4 linked regions of the Arabidopsis thaliana genome follow. Each later gene encodes a partner of the first gene's protein in a complex. Each region holds a gene or a part of one and is shown in the gene's direction. Other genes may lie near its edges. The genes, in order: MED21, AT2G22370, GCT and AT5G05140.

Evidence for each region.
Region 2: MED21 (region 1) and AT2G22370 share a complex: the UniProt entries of both Arabidopsis thaliana proteins name them as parts of the mediator complex.
Region 3: MED21 (region 1) and GCT share a complex: the UniProt entries of both Arabidopsis thaliana proteins name them as parts of the mediator complex.
Region 4: MED21 (region 1) and AT5G05140 share a complex: the UniProt entries of both Arabidopsis thaliana proteins name them as parts of the mediator complex.

Annotation. Positions count from the first base shown.
Region 1 is NC_003075.7:2,430,345-2,434,150, forward strand, and holds MED21 (mediator 21), read left to right. Parts: upstream 1-1,907; 5' UTR 1,908-2,018; intron 2,019-2,300; 5' UTR 2,301-2,320; coding exon 2,321-2,611; intron 2,612-2,695; coding exon 2,696-2,747; intron 2,748-2,976; coding exon 2,977-3,053; 3' UTR 3,054-3,291; downstream 3,292-3,806. Other genes in the region: AT4G04775 (zinc ion binding protein), read left to right, coding at 776-940, 1,011-1,328. UniProt on the Arabidopsis thaliana protein: Component of the Mediator complex, a coactivator involved in the regulated transcription of nearly all RNA polymerase II-dependent genes.
Region 2 is NC_003071.7:9,500,242-9,503,901, reverse strand, and holds AT2G22370 (mediator of RNA polymerase II transcription subunit), read left to right. Parts: upstream 1-1,691; 5' UTR 1,692-1,823; coding exon 1,824-1,865; intron 1,866-2,012; coding exon 2,013-2,112; intron 2,113-2,202; coding exon 2,203-2,260; intron 2,261-2,337; coding exon 2,338-2,694; intron 2,695-2,780; coding exon 2,781-2,883; 3' UTR 2,884-3,118; downstream 3,119-3,660. Other genes in the region: AT2G22360 (DNAJ heat shock family protein), read right to left, coding at 3,443-3,660. UniProt on the Arabidopsis thaliana protein: Component of the Mediator complex, a coactivator involved in the regulated transcription of nearly all RNA polymerase II-dependent genes.
Region 3 is NC_003070.9:20,635,825-20,640,421, forward strand, and holds the start of GCT (RNA polymerase II transcription mediator), read left to right. Parts: upstream 1-1,555; 5' UTR 1,556-1,769; coding exon 1,770-1,793; intron 1,794-1,874; coding exon 1,875-1,948; intron 1,949-2,041; coding exon 2,042-2,181; intron 2,182-2,267; coding exon 2,268-2,354; intron 2,355-2,515; coding exon 2,516-2,603; intron 2,604-2,692; coding exon 2,693-2,770; intron 2,771-3,017; coding exon 3,018-3,095; intron 3,096-3,184; coding exon 3,185-3,264; intron 3,265-3,517; coding exon of another isoform or gene 3,518-3,572; intron 3,573-3,668; coding exon of another isoform or gene 3,669-3,703; coding exon 3,704-3,782; intron 3,783-3,891; coding exon 3,892-4,218; intron 4,219-4,459; coding exon 4,460-4,519; intron 4,520-4,597. Other genes in the region: AAE18 (acyl-activating enzyme 18), read left to right, coding at 6-131, 224-322, 416-625, 719-835. UniProt on the Arabidopsis thaliana protein: Component of the Mediator complex, a coactivator involved in the regulated transcription of nearly all RNA polymerase II-dependent genes.
Region 4 is NC_003076.8:1,518,138-1,523,663, forward strand, and holds AT5G05140 (Transcription elongation factor (TFIIS) family protein), read left to right. Parts: upstream 1-1,567; 5' UTR 1,568-2,215; coding exon 2,216-2,677; intron 2,678-2,765; coding exon 2,766-2,834; intron 2,835-2,914; coding exon 2,915-2,997; intron 2,998-3,091; coding exon 3,092-3,144; intron 3,145-3,260; coding exon 3,261-3,410; intron 3,411-3,495; coding exon 3,496-3,788; intron 3,789-3,870; coding exon 3,871-3,952; intron 3,953-4,041; coding exon 4,042-4,160; 3' UTR 4,161-5,000; downstream 5,001-5,526. UniProt on the Arabidopsis thaliana protein: Component of the Mediator complex, a coactivator involved in the regulated transcription of nearly all RNA polymerase II-dependent genes.

The DNA of each region.
Region 1 (3,806 bases):
CATAAGCCAACAGACCAACGGAATATTTTGAGAAACTTAGCTGAAAAAAAGGAAGTAAAACCAAAAACATATATAAGGAAACATTTTAAACCAACGAAATTGAATCAAGAGACAAAATTCAAAAGAAAATAAAAAACTATGGGAAAAATAAGACCTAAACTTCTCCTAAAAAATGTGAACGCCGGAAACACCAATAAGATCGGATAGATTTTACACCGAAGTCAAAACTAATAGTAAATCGACAGAGAGGAAAGCAAGAAGCCGCTGAAACCAGAGACATAAGTACAAACACCATCACACCTCACCCACCAGACCGAGATAGCAAAATGTACTAGGGACAAGGCATAAACCTTGAAGATCTACTAGAGATAATTAAAGCACTAGACACAATCAGTATCGATTCTACTTGGGTTAGCTGATTTTCGAGCCATAAACTATTTCGATTCTCAGCTTTCACCCCCGGACTTTTGGGCCCTTAAATTTCCACCATCAACTTTCATATTCCCAAAATTACATCATCTACTTTCGGATTCATGCTTAAACATACATTTCCAATTGAACCATTCATTTAACCGGGATTAACCACAAATCCGCGTTTACTGTACCGCGATTGCGATTAACCCGACTAATACCCAGACCCGTTAAGAAAACGACGTCGTTTTCATTTCGTTTAACTCATCAAAAAGAGAAAGAAAACGACGTCGTTTTCATTCTTCTTCTTCTGCAAAATCGATTTGGTCGATTAGGGTTCTTCATTCGACAATTTTATAAGAAAATGAGCACCAACAGCTACTACTCATCCGCTTCCAGTTCAGGATTTCGTGTCTGTCCTCCTGGTGTCCCCTCGAAATGTTGGTGTGGAGAAGAGATCATTACATTCACATCGAAAACAAAGGAGAATCCATACCGGAGATTCTACCGTTGTGCGATAGCAATGAAGGTACACATTTCGATTTTGTGATATATTTGATTGATTGAAGGAGTAAATGATTGGAAATTATGTTTTATAGAGAGAAAATGAAGAGCACTTGTTCAAATGGGTTGATGAAGCTCTCTTGGACGAAATTAAGATGGTAAATGAGAAGTGTAAGAGAGTTGTAGAGAATATTAGTGACCTCAGAATGAACGTGATGGCTAATATGGAGCTCCTTAATAAAAACGCTAAGCAGATGGAGGAAGAGCTGATTAAGAAGATGGAGGGTGAACTCTTGACCATGAAGGAGAATGTGGAAGAGCTAGGACATGTTATGGCAAAGTCAGCTTTGAAGACTGTAGGGGTTGCTGTTGTGATTGTTGCATCTATTGTATGGCTTTGGGGAAGAGTGTAGGTGTTGTTGAGGTTTTGGAGTGAAATTGTAGTATTGGATTAGTCTCTGTTATAAAATTGTCGAATGAAGAACCCTAATCGACCAAATCGATTTTGCAGAAGAAGAAGAATGAAAACGACGTCGTTTTCTTTCTCTTTTTGATGAGTTAAACGAAATGAAAACGACGTCGTTTTCTTAACGGGTCTGGGTATTAGTCAGGTTAATCGCAATCGCGGTACAGTAAACGCAGATTTGTGGTTAATCCCGGTTAAATGAATGGTTCAATTGGAAATGTATGTTTAAGCATGAATTCGAAAGTAGATGATGTAATTTTGAGGAATATGAAAGTTGATGGTGAAAATTTAAGGGCCCAAAAGTCCGGGGGTGAAAGCTGAGAATCGAAATAGTTTATGGCTCAAAAATCAGCCACCCAATTCTACTTCAGTGTTTTTTTTTTTAATTAGTTGTCAATTAATTAAAGCAGTAGGTTTAAAGAAACAACAGAAATCGTTCCTTACGAATTCTATGGAATTAGGGCCCAAAAATCCAAAGGAAAGGCCACCTTAAAAGCCCATTTTAAAAATCTTCGAGCCCAAACCCAAAACGCAGAACGAAGTTTATTAAGAACAACAAAACGCCCCAATTCGCAGCGATTATCTGTCGTTGCCACACCCAACAGACTCTGCGTCGCCGGAGAAATCTTGTCGACGGGTAAGTCTCTTCGTTAAAGCTTATGCTTCGTTAAATCGATTAGGTCAATTTTTTCCCTGAGGATTCGCCATTTTGATCCTCTCTGAAATCCAACTGGTTTTAAGTGATTTATGCTTTGGCACTAGTTTTGTTGAGAATCTTGTTTGATAAATTCAGGAATTGACCACCAATTTTGTGCCATTTGAATCTCCTAGATCCTCTCTGAACGTTATATCTTGCTTTTGAGTATATGTTAAAAGTCTAATATGTGATTGATTACTGTAAATTTTATACTTGTTCAAGGTCTTTTAAGGTTTTGGAAGATGGATATAATCTCACAGTTGCAAGAACAAGTGAATACGATTGCTGCTATCACTTTCAATGCTTTTGGGACACTGCAAAGGGATGCACCACCAGTCCAGCTTTCACCTAATTATCCTGAACCACCCGCTACAACTACGGTTACTGATGATGCTACGCCTTTTCCTGAGCAACCTAAGCAGCTCAGTGCTGGCTTAGTTAAGGCTGCTAAACAGTTTGATGCTTTGGTTGCTGCACTTCCTTTGTCAGAAGGTGGTGAAGGTGCTCAGCTCAAAAGAATCGCTGAACTCCAGGTCAAACAAGTCACACCGATATGTCGAGTTCTTGAATCCGATTACTTCTATTTGTCTAACCGCTTTGTCCTGTTTTTTCTTCAGGTGGAAAATGATCTTGTTGGTCAAGAACTCCAAAAGCAACTAGAGGCTGCAGGTAAAAAACGATCTTAGGTTTTCACTTCATTGTTGGTGTGTCTTATCTGTCTGTAACTGGAGCAGATTCATTATGCACTTCAAATTTCAATTTGTATACTTTCTTGTTGATACACGCACTATGGTTAGATGTTATCTTTAGTGGTTCTAGAATTTGGAATTTTTGTTTTCCCTTGCAACTGCCTCTGACGATTGAGCTGATGTTAATGGTGTGACCTTGTTTGTGACAGAGAAGGAGCTAAAGCAAGTACAAGAGCTGTTTGGACAAGCTGCTGACAATTGCCTGAACATGAAGAAACCTGAATGAAATGCTTGTTTACCTTTTGTCGAGCTGATTTAGAAACTATATGATTTGGTTCAGCAACAATTATCTTTTAGGTTCATAAGGAATATCTATTCTAAGTTGGTTCACCAAAAAATTGTTGTAGAAGCAATTACAAGAATGTTAGTTAGCTCACAACAACAGAACCATTATTTTAACCTTACACTTTTTTGACCTGTCTGATTACAATCTCAGAGAATCCACTTTATCATTTTCACAATTACAGGCCATGATTGACACATCATGTTTGATTCTCCGGGCAGTGTTGGTCAAATTACTATGATGGTCAAATTACTATGAACTCTGGTATCTGTCACATTCAATCCAAGTTGCTGAAAAGAAATGACCAGTCCATAAGTTGTGGTCCAAAACCGGATCTTGATTGTGTATTTGTACTCAAGCATGTGAAGATATCCTAACTCATCATCCTTCTTGCGCTCTCTCACAAGACTTGTATAGAGTCCAACAATCTTTTGTCTGCGTGATGAAGCTTTAGGATGAAAAGAAAACTTTAGCCAGTCCGATCAATATTATAAATTAACAATTGTATAAATTTACCAATATATATATTTATATAAATATTATATGTAAAATATTTAGTGAAATATGACTCTACTATTGTTTTTCTTTAATTTTTATTAATTTTTTGTAAAGTTCAATTCTAATACTTTTACTATGTGAAAAAAAAAAATTGTATTTTTTTTTTAAACTTAATAATTGTTTTCTACTTATAATCGG
Region 2 (3,660 bases), on another chromosome or scaffold:
ACACACGAAGATCAAAATCGAAATTGAACAGCAACACTGTAACATCATCGAGTTCGAAGCAATATTTTATCCATTGTTAAATCAGAGAAGATAGAACTAAGATCGGAGAAGGATATAGTACCGTTTCTGGCCTGCGATGTCCCAGATCTGAGCTTTGATGTTCTTATCGTCAATAACGAGCGTTCGAGTATTGAAATCGACACCGAATTGTGGCTTTGGAATCCATACTGAATTCGTCTCTTGTGAACCGAGCTCGTAGCTGTGACTTCCCAACCGCTGAATCTCCGTTCAAAACAACCTTGAATACGTAGTCAACCTCTTCTTCAGCCATCTTCTTCTTCGCTCGCAGTCGGCGATCGAACGACGTCGATTTTCTCGCTGTTTTTACACTCTCCGGTGGACTGAGAGATTAAACTAATCGTAGGGTTAAAATGTAATCCTCTACGGTAGAGAGTACTAGAGTGTATGGTAGTCAAAGTCGTCATACGTGGATTTGATTAATGATTGCTACACGTGTATCGCATTGATAGGTTCTCTTGCTCGGATCACTAATACATAAACTTGGATACAACCCAAAGCTTGACCTATTTTTGTTGAACACCTTTTTGTTTTTATATTTTTCATCCTCTGAAACAAGTCCATAGACTCTTGTATTAATATATCCTGATGATATTTGGTTTTACATTTGCATCTTGTATCATTGTAAACAATTCATAAGCCTTCCCACAAAAGCATGCTTGGCATTTGACAATTGGCAATTCATAAATGATGCATTATAAGCATAAATATCAACTTGGATATTCAACTTGGCCCGTGTATTATGCTACCTCTACAAATTTGGTGAGGTAGGTTAAAATGAGGCCGGTTTGAGTTACCGGTATATTAGACGAGCATTAACATGATTACACACTTGAGGATATTATTGACGAATGAAGAAACTAAAATGGTTTAGTTAATGCAAAATTGAGGATTCATTCGTCTATTGAAATAGAGAAGAATTGTTTGAGGCTAAAATAAATATATTTACATTTTTCCTATTCTCCTCCAAACTTTTCGTAAACATGGTTATTTGACTTATTTTTGAACTTTTTATCTAATAATTTAAAGGATTGTGGTGATGTAGTGGCCACTTAATCTACACAACATCGCAATAATTTTGACAAAATTTTCTACATATTTCTTGTCAACAATTATAAGGAATTAACACATTCTACTTAGTAGACATTTACAGTAATCACAACCAAGATGAAATAACCATATATAAATATCATTTGCTATGTTCATAAACTTTATCGAAACTAGTTGACTTCTTAAAATGCCAACTAATTAGGTTAGGGTTCATGAACTTTTTAGCAAAGATAGCACAAACTAAATTCTATCTTCAACCTAACTAATGACGGTTTACTCCGGTTAACCGGTGGTTATGTTCTCATCATGCGGCCAACTAAGCTAATGGGCTATTTGGTGATCACTAATCAATGACCGAGATGCACTAGAGTTTTTATTATGATCGAGTTCCCAAAAAAGGGGCAACAAGAAAAAACGAAATGGCCTATACAGGGATCGAACCTGTGACCTTCGCGTTATTAGCACGACGCTCTAACCAACTGAGCTAATAGGCCATCTTGCTTTATCTACAGCTAACTACTATATAACAACTACACAAGTGATTCTAGTAACTAGCTAAAATTCTCCGGTGTTAAAAAATCTCAGATTCGCTCCCGAGGACGATTTAGGAAGCTTTCGTTAGTTTTTCCAATTTCGGATTTGGTCTTGTTGAGAATATATTTACGATTTTAATTGAGAGATTTTGTGATAGCTCAATGTCAATGGAGTGTGTGGTTCAAGGAATCATCGAGACACAGGTTCGTTTGTATTTTTTGATTGACGAACAAATCCCAAGTTTTTCGAGTTCATGGATCAGCTTTTAGCTTTCTTATGATGTCCAATTGATAAACCCTAGGCTTGAATTTTTATTAGAATTTGATTAGATTTTCTACTGGATTTTGCAGCATGTTGAAGCTCTTGAGATTCTTCTTCAAGGTCTTTGTGGTGTTCAACGCGAACGTTTAAGAGTTCATGAGTTATGCTTAAGAAGCGGCCCAAATCTTGGTAAAGCCAATTCCTTTTGTTAAATTCAGAAACTTGAAGCTTCCTATGAATCATACATGATTCACATTTGTGAAATCTTCACTTTTTCAGGAGTTGTGTCATCAGAAGTTAGGCTATTATGTGATCTTGATCAACCCGAACCCACATGGTACAGCTTCTTCTTGTTGTTGTTGTTGTTGTATATGTTCTTGTTTCATTCAAAGGAAGCTAATTTAAGAACCATAGGACGGTTAAACATGTTGGTGGTGCGATGAGAGGTGCAGGAGCTGATCAAATCTCTGTTTTGGTTAGAAATATGATTGAAAGTAAAGTAAGCAAGAATGCTTTGCGTATGTTCTATGCACTCGGTTACAAACTAGACCATGAGCTTCTCAAAGTCGGATTCGCCTTTCATTTCCAACGGACTGCGCACATAAGTGTTTCTGTATCTTCTGTTAATAAGATGCCTAAAGTTCATGCTATAGATGAGGCTGTTCCTGTAACACCTGGTATGCAGATTGTTGATGTAACTGCTCCTGCAACTTCTGAGAATTACAGTGAAGTCGCTGCTGCTGTTTCATCTTTCTGTGAATTTCTTGCTCCGTAAGTTCATCTGATATATTTTACAGCACCTGTGATAGTGTCTTTGATATAAGCTTCATCAGTGATATGATTCCTTGTGTTTTCAGGCTTGTTCACTTGTCGAAACCGTCTATCTCCACGGGGGTTGTGCCAACCGCTGCTGCGGCGGCTGCATCTCTTATGTCGGATGGAGGAGGTACTACATTGTAAGAAGTTTGAAGTTAAAAACAACTGTTCTTGTGTTCTCTCTTGTTAGATCTTTTGGTCCAATCTAGTCAATTTTCCAGATTACACAATGGTTGTGAAATCTTGTGAACCATTAGAGTTAAGTATTATTTAATGAGAATCAGTAAGGGATCTTTAATAAATATTCTTTATAAATCACAACTTGCATATGATCTTTGCTCTTCTCTCAACCTTTTGGTATTATGATGTTTCATTGTTGTCACTTGTCAGTAGATTGATAGTTTATGAAGCTTCGAACATGATTAAAATAATGTGAATGTCTTTGTGGAATTACATACTATTTTATTTATCATTCAATCACTAATAAATTCCAATTTGAAAGCCTATTAAAACCTAACATATTAAAAATTTGAACCACAAAAAAATGAATTCTAAAATTCTTCCATTTCCACAACAATAATCATCTTCCTCCACTTGCTTCTTCTTTTTTCAAGAGCCATTCTAAATATCACAAGCCAGAGTAGAAAAATGTATATGTATAGAGAGATTCATAATTTCAATGTCAAAATTTTCGTGTTTCTAATCATCTACTGGTGCTATTAGCAGTCTTGTTCTTGCTCATATCAGCAAGCTCTTCAATAAGTTTTTTCTCCTCTTTGCTCAATCTCTTAGGTATCTCCACTTGTACTCTCACCAACTGATCTCCTCTCATATTACTCTTGTTCAATACCGGAACTCCTTTTTTCGCCATCACAAGCGTCGTGCTAGGTTGTGTCCCAGCTGGAACTTTCAAATCTACTG
Region 3 (4,597 bases), on another chromosome or scaffold:
TGCAGCCGGATGATCAACCATGTACTGGAGAAGTCGGTTTGTTCCCCCAGCACCTTGGGGCCACGGATAGACTTCTGAATGCAAATCACGACGAGGTTTACTTCAAGGGAATGCCCATGTATAAGGAAACAGTGAGTAGTTTTAGAACTTCTATATTTACATCTAAACAAAATTGCAAACTTACGTCAGTTAAACGATTCCTCTGTTCTGTTGCGTTCTGCAGCGACTTAGAAGACACGGTGACATTGTGAAGCGAACTGTTGGAGGATATTACAATGTTCAAGGTAGAGCTGATGATACCATGAACCTTGGAGGCATTAAGGTACTACATACATTGTATGTCTATATACCCAACTTCGATTAGAGTTGGAACTTTTCTCAAGTTTTCATCTTTTGTTTATCTGTTATAACGCAGACGAGTTCTATTGAGATCGAACGTGTGTGTGATCAAGCTGATGAGTGCATCTCTGAGACAGCTGCAGTCACCTTAACACCACCTAACGGTGGTCCAGAGTTGCTGGTCATATTCGCAGTCTTGAAAGAAGGGTTCAAGCAACAGAGTGGAGAAGAGCTAAAGATGAAATTTTCAAGAACCATTCAAAAAGATCTTAATCCTCTCTTCAAGGTAATCAATATCTTTGATGAGTTTTTCTATAAATTCAAAGTTATTATAAGATTTTTTGTGTGCTTAAAAATGGATTTTGCAAAAATATTGCAGGTGAGTTTTGTGAAGATTGTGCCGGAGTTTCCAAGAACAGCTTCTAGCAAGCTACTGAGAAGAGTCTTGAGAGATCAGATTAAGCAAGAACTACTATCCTTACGAAGTCGAATATAAAGCCTTGATCTTAAGTTTAACTAGAATAAAATAAGATCTGCTGAGTAGTAGTTGATCTACACATGATTGGGTACTGCTCGGTCCAAATAAGAAAACCGATTAAATCAAATCTACCGGTCCTTGAATTCTCTAGCCTGATTCACATTTACATGACTAAACACTTTGACTTTGTTATGTTTGTGTTTGTGTTTGGTGTATATATTTCATATCAGATTATAATCTTAATTTTCCTCAAGATTATCTTTTGTTTAAATTTGTAAAAATATTTCGGACGATACTCATACATCCCATAAGGCTTTGAGACATCTGAATAGTATCACCACGAATGACCTATGGAACCAGAAGACAACTAGCCGCACCCAACGATACAAAGATAGCGTTAAGATCATTCGAGGTCTAGCTATATCGTGGTATACAAAATCTAGAAAATATAAAGTAAAACCATAGCATTGTTTGGTTCATTTGATTGATGCAAGTCAAACAAACTCGAAAGAATGAGATCTTAATACCAAAACTTCAAAAACACTTGATATTAAACACCTTATTTGGAGGAAACTCTTTTATGATGCTTGTGGTTGGCGGTTTTTTTTTTTGAACCAGAGTGTTGTGAAAATAATGAATTGGGCCTGACTAAAACAAATTGGGCCACAGAAAAAAAAAGAATTAGTAAGAGCAACAAAAAAAAAAGAACCCTAAAGAGCGCGTTTGGATCTGGTTTTATGAAAACCACGAGAGATTTCGTGTTGAGATGATTATGATGTATTGAAGAGTTTTGATCAAAAGAGAGATATAAACCTCGCAACATCAAGAGAAGATCGAGCTAGAAATTGACAACGTCTTCCAATTCCGAGCGCTTCAAGACGATGATTTTGGGGTTATAGCCTATAATTTGAAGAAAAAAAAGGATTGAACTTGTTGTATCTATCCCCAAGTGATGTGGACTAATGTTTTCAGAATTGTAAGTCTTATTCTATCATCTTTTTCCCATTGTGTGTGAAAATTGACTTATTGGTAATACATGATGATTTTTCTTCTACAGGGTGGTCTACATAATGTTTCTTGGTTTCAGTTTCTTCCAAGTGAAACTGAGCTGAATCCTGGCTTTGATAGAAGGTTAAAGCTTTAAGCTTTTTCAATGGGTTGTTTTAGTTTTTCCTTATTGACATTGTACTAATTAGTCTGGTCACTCTGGAGTTTTTTTTTCAGTTCAAGAGCTGAGCAGAATGAAGTTGCAACATATCTTGTACTTTCCTCTCATCTACGGTTGCAGAAGGAAGGGTTTCTTACCACTTGGACCAATTCTTTTGTTGGACCTTGGGATCCATCTCAAGGTTTATACAACCCTGGTAATGCTAAATCTCAATCTGGTACTTTTAAATTTTGTAACTTTATTTACAGTTGTATCTAACCATCATTCCTCGCTGCTGCTCAGATGAAAAGATTAAGCTTTGGCTTTTTCTACCTGGGCGTCATTCATCAATATCTGATAAAGCTCAGGCTGCTGTGTCAAAGCTTAGAGGTATATTCTCCTTATGATTTATTTTCTTCATCGTATTTTGTCGCCTCAATAGATTCAAACATATTGTCTCTATTCTGATTATGACTGTTTAGTGAACATGCCTGTGGTCTATGGTTATCTTGGTATACTTGTCCTTACTTTTCTTTTTCTCCTGTTGAAAGTTGTTGCGTCAGGAATTTGGGTAGCACCTGGGGACTCTGAAGAGATATCAGTTGCCTTTTCACAGTCTTTACGTAATTGCATCGAAAGGTTAGTTTTTTATTATCTGCAGACATAATGGTTGGATTAAGGAAATAATGGATTAGAGTATCATATTAACTTGTTTGATATCGCCACAGAGCATTATCTGGAATTTCCTACATGAGATTTGGAGATGTGTTTTCAAAATTCAGCCCTCAAAGCGAAGAATATTTGAGGTATCTGCAACCTCTTACCAATATAAGCGAGACCATGCGTTATAATCTCTGATGGTTTATTAGCAAATATATCGTCTTTTTTCTCTATGGCTTTTCGATTATGTATTATCCTATAGCTTTCATTAAATAGGGTCTGTGAGACCTAGGTTTCCTGAGTGTAATTCTTAGAATCCAAAGAATTCTATGATTAGGTCTGTGGCTCGCTAATGCTCTGTGGCTCGCTAATGCTCTGTGGATATTTATGTAGGAGGGGACAGCCTACTGTTGAATTCATCTTTGCTGCTACCGAAGAGGCAGTTTTTGTCCATGTCATTATATCTGCCAAGTCCGTAAAGCTTTTTGTTATACTGTTTCAGTTATGGTTTAGTGCTTCACATAGTTATTGAAACTAACTATAATATTTTATGCACGAAGGAATGTCCGCACACTTTCAAGTGGCGATGCTGAAAGAATGTTAAGGAGTTCTTTGAAAAACTCCAGTTATAGGCTTCCAGGTTAGTTATTTTTCCATCATCATTTGGATTGATAAATTATCCTACTTGTCTACGATTTTGATGGAACTAGTTCTAGATGTTTGTTGACCTCTTCTTGCTTTGTACTGTTAGAATACTGTATAGATTGAGAGCATTTTGAACTCAATTTTCAATGCATCCACTCCAAAAAGAAACCTAGTGTAGTCTAGTGCTACTGCTACCTAGCTTCATCAAGCAAAGATTTAACACCTCATTTTTTTGCATGTCACAAGAGCTTTTCGTAAATGTTTGGGATTGGCCAAGAGTGAGGATAATAGATTATGCTACATGTAATTCTATGAAGCCAAACTTTTTGAATTGATACCTGAAATGAAATCCGCCTTCTACACATGCTTAAAGAAAGATAAGAGCTTTTTATTTGATAGAAACACTTCTCACAGGCCTATGTTATTCCCACCAGTTATTGTTTCTCCTCATGGAATGCGGGGCAGCCTTACTGGATTCTGTCCCAATGACCTTGTCAAGCAAGTCTACTTCAGGTACATTTCATACCTTTGCTTTCGAATGCCAAGTCAACATTTTTTGTGAGTGCGTAGCCGTTAATCTGATTAATCCAATTTTCTCAACTAATACTTTTTTCTCACACAGTTCTGGAAACTTAAAAACTTCGACTGGATATGTTGGTCTCCCTTCTCATATTGGTCGTGGGTCCCGTCTGATAAATGGCAATCATTGCTACGTGGAAGTTACACTTGGTTGCTGCCAAAATAGAAATGACAACACAAGTCAAGCTAATTCGACCTTTGCAGTTAACTTGCCCCATAACCAGTGTCCTGAACCTTCAGTTGGGAGTAAAGATCACCGTAAAGGACAATCAGATCTTTCATCAGTTTGTGAAAAAAAGTTCATCTATCCAGCTGAGGCAGTGCTTGTACCAATCTTACAGTCGGCATTTGCGAAATTTTCTTTGAAAAGGTAAATTGACTAGGTGAGGTGGTTATTTAGAATTCATTGAGTACTTAACGGTAAGATCCAGATTGGCTATACATAAAATTTATTTCGTTTCTGTTGAATTCCATGTATGTATTAAAACAAATTGACTCTGTGTGATCGTAGTGGAAGTTTTAGTAATTGTTTCAGACCCATGTTAAATAGATGTAATAGTTGTGATCTTTCCTCAGCTTGGAGCTGATGCAAGGTGAAATCATACTTGCAGATTTTGGCTTCAAAACTGGATAGGCCCGTCACTAGCAGGCTCATCTTTGTTTATGCACTGGTGAGTCTTTTTCATCTATCTCGTCGACATTTGAAGATCAAAAGAAATCCACAAAACAGAGGTCTTGAAATGCCCAAA
Region 4 (5,526 bases), on another chromosome or scaffold:
GCCAATCAAAGTCTGTCACGTAAACGTGGCTGTGACAAGCCCGTGAGGTTAGCACTCAAAGGAGTCCCAGTGTTTTTCACGCGTTTGAAGGTGAGTAAATTCTGATTGGTAATCACCACCGTCCCAAATCGTACGACTTCGTTTTGTCACGTATTAACATAAAATCAAATTATAATATTTTTAGGGGTCGATTTTGTTGACCAACATTTAATACATGCTTCTCATTCCACAAACAGAAACTTCCTTTTCTTCTTCTATTTTCTGTTGTTGCTCTAACAAATCAAGCTAAGTTTAATAGTCCAACTTATTTTATAACTTTGTAAACACAAAACAAAGTTCTTACTTTGAATTAAAACAGTTATGATTGTGGTATCATTTTGGAACATGTAAACATAAACGAAAATGCAAATACAAAGAAAAACAGTTGATTTTTTTTTTTTTCAACAACAACAAAAATAAGACAATGTATGATGATTGATGACATGATGCTATCATGCTATGTCTTTTTTTGGTAAATTCTCTAAAATAAATATGATCTAAGTTAAGGTTTGGTTGGATTGTACCGGAACATTATGAGTATAAGTGAAGAGTTGTAACTTTTATTTACAATTGATAAATTGTAAATAAACTACATATCTAAGACCATCTCTATTGGGAGTATCTCATAAGAGTTTCTCACAATTAAAAAAATAAAAATAATGAAAATGAAGGAGAGAGAGTGTAGAAAGTTTCTCACTTGAGAAACTCTGAGATAGTCTCTACAACCCATCATGACAATTATCATCTTACTATTGGTTTAATTTTTTAACAAAAATATTTTTTTAATCAAATAATCAAATTATAATATAATATTAATATTTTTTTTGTTTGAAAAACTTTGTGGGTTTTTCATGGATGGAGATGCCCTAATGGCCTTAACAAGTATGGGTTATGAAAAAATAGTCGATGAATTAATGAAAAAGCTGTGAGGGTAACGAGGTTAAAACATTGTGAGTCATTTTGTACCTAATCCAAAGTACAAAGGGATACAAAAAAAATAAAACAACTTTTTTGTTAGATATTTTTAAAACATTGTAAACAAAGAAATACTTGTTTCTCTGTCTTACAAATCTGAACAAATTAAAGTACCTAATCCAATTTCTTATAAAACAAAATAAAATGAAATGATAGTGTTAACTGTTAAAACATGAAACTATTGTTTTGAATCGGATTTACCAAATATTCTAATATATCACTCTTTGACTAGAAGATAAACGCTTTTGATCAGCAGCATTAGGAAATAAATATCTCTTCTTCAGAGCTTCTCATTAAAGTCCGTATAACTAACTAAACACTCTTAGTAGAATTTACTTTTGACATTTTCCAACGTAAAAAAGATTTATGACCCAAAAAAAAAAAAAAGAGTTTGACCTTGTAATCACTTAACTTGTGTCGTCGTTCAAGTACAACGCATGTGTGAGGAAAAAAAGAATAATGTGTTTTTATAATAATAATGAAAAGCCAAAACAGACCGATCAGGTCAAAAGAAAGCCGTAAAGAAAATCCAACTTAAAATAAAAATAAAATCTCTTTTACCAAACAGATATACAGAGAGACTTCAATCAGAGGAAATAAATAAATTTCATTATTTCTCTTTCTGAATTAATAAAAAGGTTTCTTGTTGAATTGAATTTGTAGCTGTGTTTAACGTAGTAGCACTTGGGTTTTAGATAGACAACGTAACCAAAACTGTTTCATGTTCTGTCTGTATTCTCTCTTTTGCTTTTTTGGGTTTCCTCCTTCTTTCTCATCTTTGCTGCGGTGCATTTTTTTCTCGGGAAAATCCTTTCTGGGCTTTCCGGGAAAGTTTTCTTGTCAGATTCGGAAAGGTACCAAAAAAAATAAATTAATAAAAACTTACCAAACAGATTTTGTGTTTATCTCTCTCTCTATAGATTCTTTTGATCACAAATCCTTTTCGTTTTTGATCATATTTTGATTGAGAACAAAACAATCTTCAAAGTCTCAACCTTTAAGTTTGATTGATCTTTTTTTGGTAAGTAAATCTTCTGTCGTAGATTCGATATTTTCTGATCTTCTCTTTTCGAATTCTTCAATCTTCAACGATCCCAATCTTCTTCTTCTGGAAATCTATTTTGCTTCTTCTTCAAATTTTCTGGGGAAAAAATCAAATTCTTGAGTTAATTAGACTCCGATTTTGTTGAATCGAGAAACGATGAAAGCATCGGGTTCATTAGATAGCTGGAGAGAATATTTCCGACGGCGAGGAGATTCCGATATATTCGGGATCATCGATCATGCGATCATGGTGGCTGCTACTGATTGTCCTAACAAATTCAAATCCAGAAGAGACAAAATCGCCGAGCTTTTATTCTCCTGTAGAGTGAATCGTTGCGTCGGATGCGACCATCTTGAATTGTCTGTTCCCGGAGACGACGAGGCTAACCGTGGAACCACCGGAAATGGTGGTGGTGGTACGGCGGTTGATGAAGATTATGAGGTTGCTGGTGGTAGTAAAGAGAGCAAAGCTAATAGTAGCAGAGGGGATAATAATCAGATTGTTAGCAATTATACATTTGATGAAGCTGAGGCTTTGAGTGATGAGATTGAAGAGTTTTCTGTGGTTTCTAAGGAGGTTGCTAGGATCAAAGAGATCTTGCTCAACAAAGAAGATGAGGTTTGATTCTCAAGTTCTTGAAATTTCATCAATGTGAAGATTTTTTTTTTGTGTTTTCTGATTGGTTCTTTTTTGTATTCTCTTGCAGCCAAACTCGGTGTTACTCGATTCTTTAAGACATCTTAAGTTGATGTCTTTGAATGTGGATATTCTTAAGGTTGGTTATCTTGGTGGATAGTGTATGAAGTTGTTGTTGATGATCCTTGAGATTCTTAAGGTTTGCGGTTATTCTCGCAGAGTACTGAGATTGGAAAGGCTGTTAATGGCCTCAGGAAACATTCTTCTGATAAGATTCGACAACTCGCTAAGACTCTTATCGCGTATGAGTTTTTGATCTTTCACAAGTTTGATTGACATTTGCTATGCTTTTGCACTTTTGAATCTCACATTTGAGTTTTTGATATGTTTATGCAGAGAATGGAAGGAGTTGGTGGATCAATGGGTGAATACCACAAAGGAAATCACTGGTAATTGCGCTTTCTCTGTCTCGCTTTTCGATCTTTTATGACTGGCTTCGTGTCTTACCGTTTGGTTTCTTGAATTAGATCCATAGTCTTTGGTTCTAATTTTGTGTTTAAAACAGGTGCTGAAGGTACACCAGAGTCTGCAAACCCGTCTGTCCTTGATGAAGAAGAGGCGTTTCCATCGCTTCCATATGATGTTGATATCTTTACACCTGAACCAAACGGATTTGAAATCTCACACTTCTTTGATTCCTTGGACTTTGATGGAAGTGAGTTTTAAAACTATGTCTTGTTTGTTTGAGAACATGTTCTTAGCTACGTGTTGATTGATTTTCTTGGGGATGTTTGTTTCAGATCCTCGTAACTCTGAAGAACACAACACAAGCCGAGAGCATGAAAGAAGGCCACAAAATATCGCCAAGAGAAAACCTGAGGGAACACAAATGAGGATACAAGATGCTCCTTTTAGATCTATTAAGCCATCATCAGCTACTGATTTTGATGGGACTAGAAGACCTGTAAAGCAAAGTACAGAGCAAAGGATGAAGAACGAAACGGTATCTGTTCACAAGTCTGAAAAACCCATGATCCAAAGGAAACCGGTTGTTACAGAACAGAAGCGGAAAGCTCCTGGACCTCAACAAGAAGTGAGTGTGGAGACAAAGCTCTTGTCTAATATCCTATTCTTGGACGTAGAATTGATGGTGTTTTTGCTCTTGTCCCTTGCAGAAACTTAAAGGTCTTGATGCAGACGCAAAGTTTGAGTTTGCAAAGAGGAAACTTCAAGAAAGCTACCAGCATCACGAGAATGGTTCGTTTCATTTCCTTTCTTTTGTTTCGAGTTTTTTGTTACATTCTTGAAAACAAAAGAACTTAAAAATGTTTGTGATCTTGCCACAGCCAAGAAGCAGCGAACGATACAAGTACTTGAGATGATCCCAAAGCAAGGTAGTGCTCAGAAACCGCAACTCAAGAGACCTGGAATGAGCAACAGGAATTGGGCTAATGGGAGAAAATAGTTTCTGCTTTGTTCAAATGGTGAATAATTCTCGGCAAAAGATATTACTCCATACTTACCACACATATCTCGCAATCTCTGGTGCAATAAAGGTAAACAGAGTCTAGTTCCACAAAGCTGGAGACAGAAACAAGCAGAGGAGAAGGAACAGAATCCAACATAACTTTACTTTGAACAAACTGTTTACTCCTCTGTTTTGTTCTGTCTTGGATTCACCAATTGCAGCAAGATAGGGATACCAATTATTGTTTCTTTTATGTGTTCTTTACTACATTCTTGAGACTTTCGGTACAGTCCCGGTTTAGTCGGGTTATGTTCGGTTTTGGGACAAGGAGAGAGGTCCCTTTTACATATATATCATATAAAAATAGTAAAAGAGAGGGTAGAAAAGCTCATTCGAAATTGACCGGCTCTTCACCTAACTTTGTATAGTAATGTGAAATGATTTGGGACACAATATAGAGATGATGACACTTTTTTCCAAATAAATAAATATTTATATAATGATATCCAATTGTTATGAATGAATGTGATTGTGACCGAATGTTGTCATTTCTTATTACTTATGTATATAAAATAAGATGGCATTGGAAAGGCTTAAGGAAGGTGGGTGGATAAGAAAAGAGGAGAAGGTAGTGGGGGGTGGGAGATAACGTGGATGGATAGGAATGTTGTTGCAGTGTGGTCTTTGTGCGTGTTGGTATTTTTTATTCAATGTTGTTATTATCTCGGCGTTACGCGTTCACGCATTTCACCACATGAACCACGTGGACTTCTACAACTTCTATTAATCTTTCACTCCATTTCTATTGAAAGAAAAACAGTTGGATAGAGATAAATCTAGTTTTATGGTCACGATTTTATTTCGTGAAAAGGAAAATGCACTTTTTAGTTTGATTAAATAAGTACACCCAAACACTTTTGGACAAAAACAAACGTAATGATTTTTGGCGTGATGGTAAATTCGTATGGATGTGTTGGTTATTTTTGTAAACTTTAGCATGTGAGAGAAAAAAAAAGTTGAGCATGTGAAAATACAAAAAATATTGTTGTCTGTGTACAAAAACTGAAATGACATTTAACATTTAGTAAGTTTCAAAATTTAAAACATTAACTCATAATCTCAAAACTTTAAACTAAACAAAAAACTGCAATTCCAAAAGCTCTAGAACTTAAATCTTACTATTGATGCAGCGAAATGTCTTTAGTTTTTTTTTTTTTAACAAAATTATGAGATCTTTTTTTGTTGTTGGAAATATCACTACAAAATGTCTAATTCATACTATTTTAAGAATATAAAAAATCTCATTTATAATCAATATGCAATGAATAAATTGACCTATATCCATTACATACTTTGTTAGATT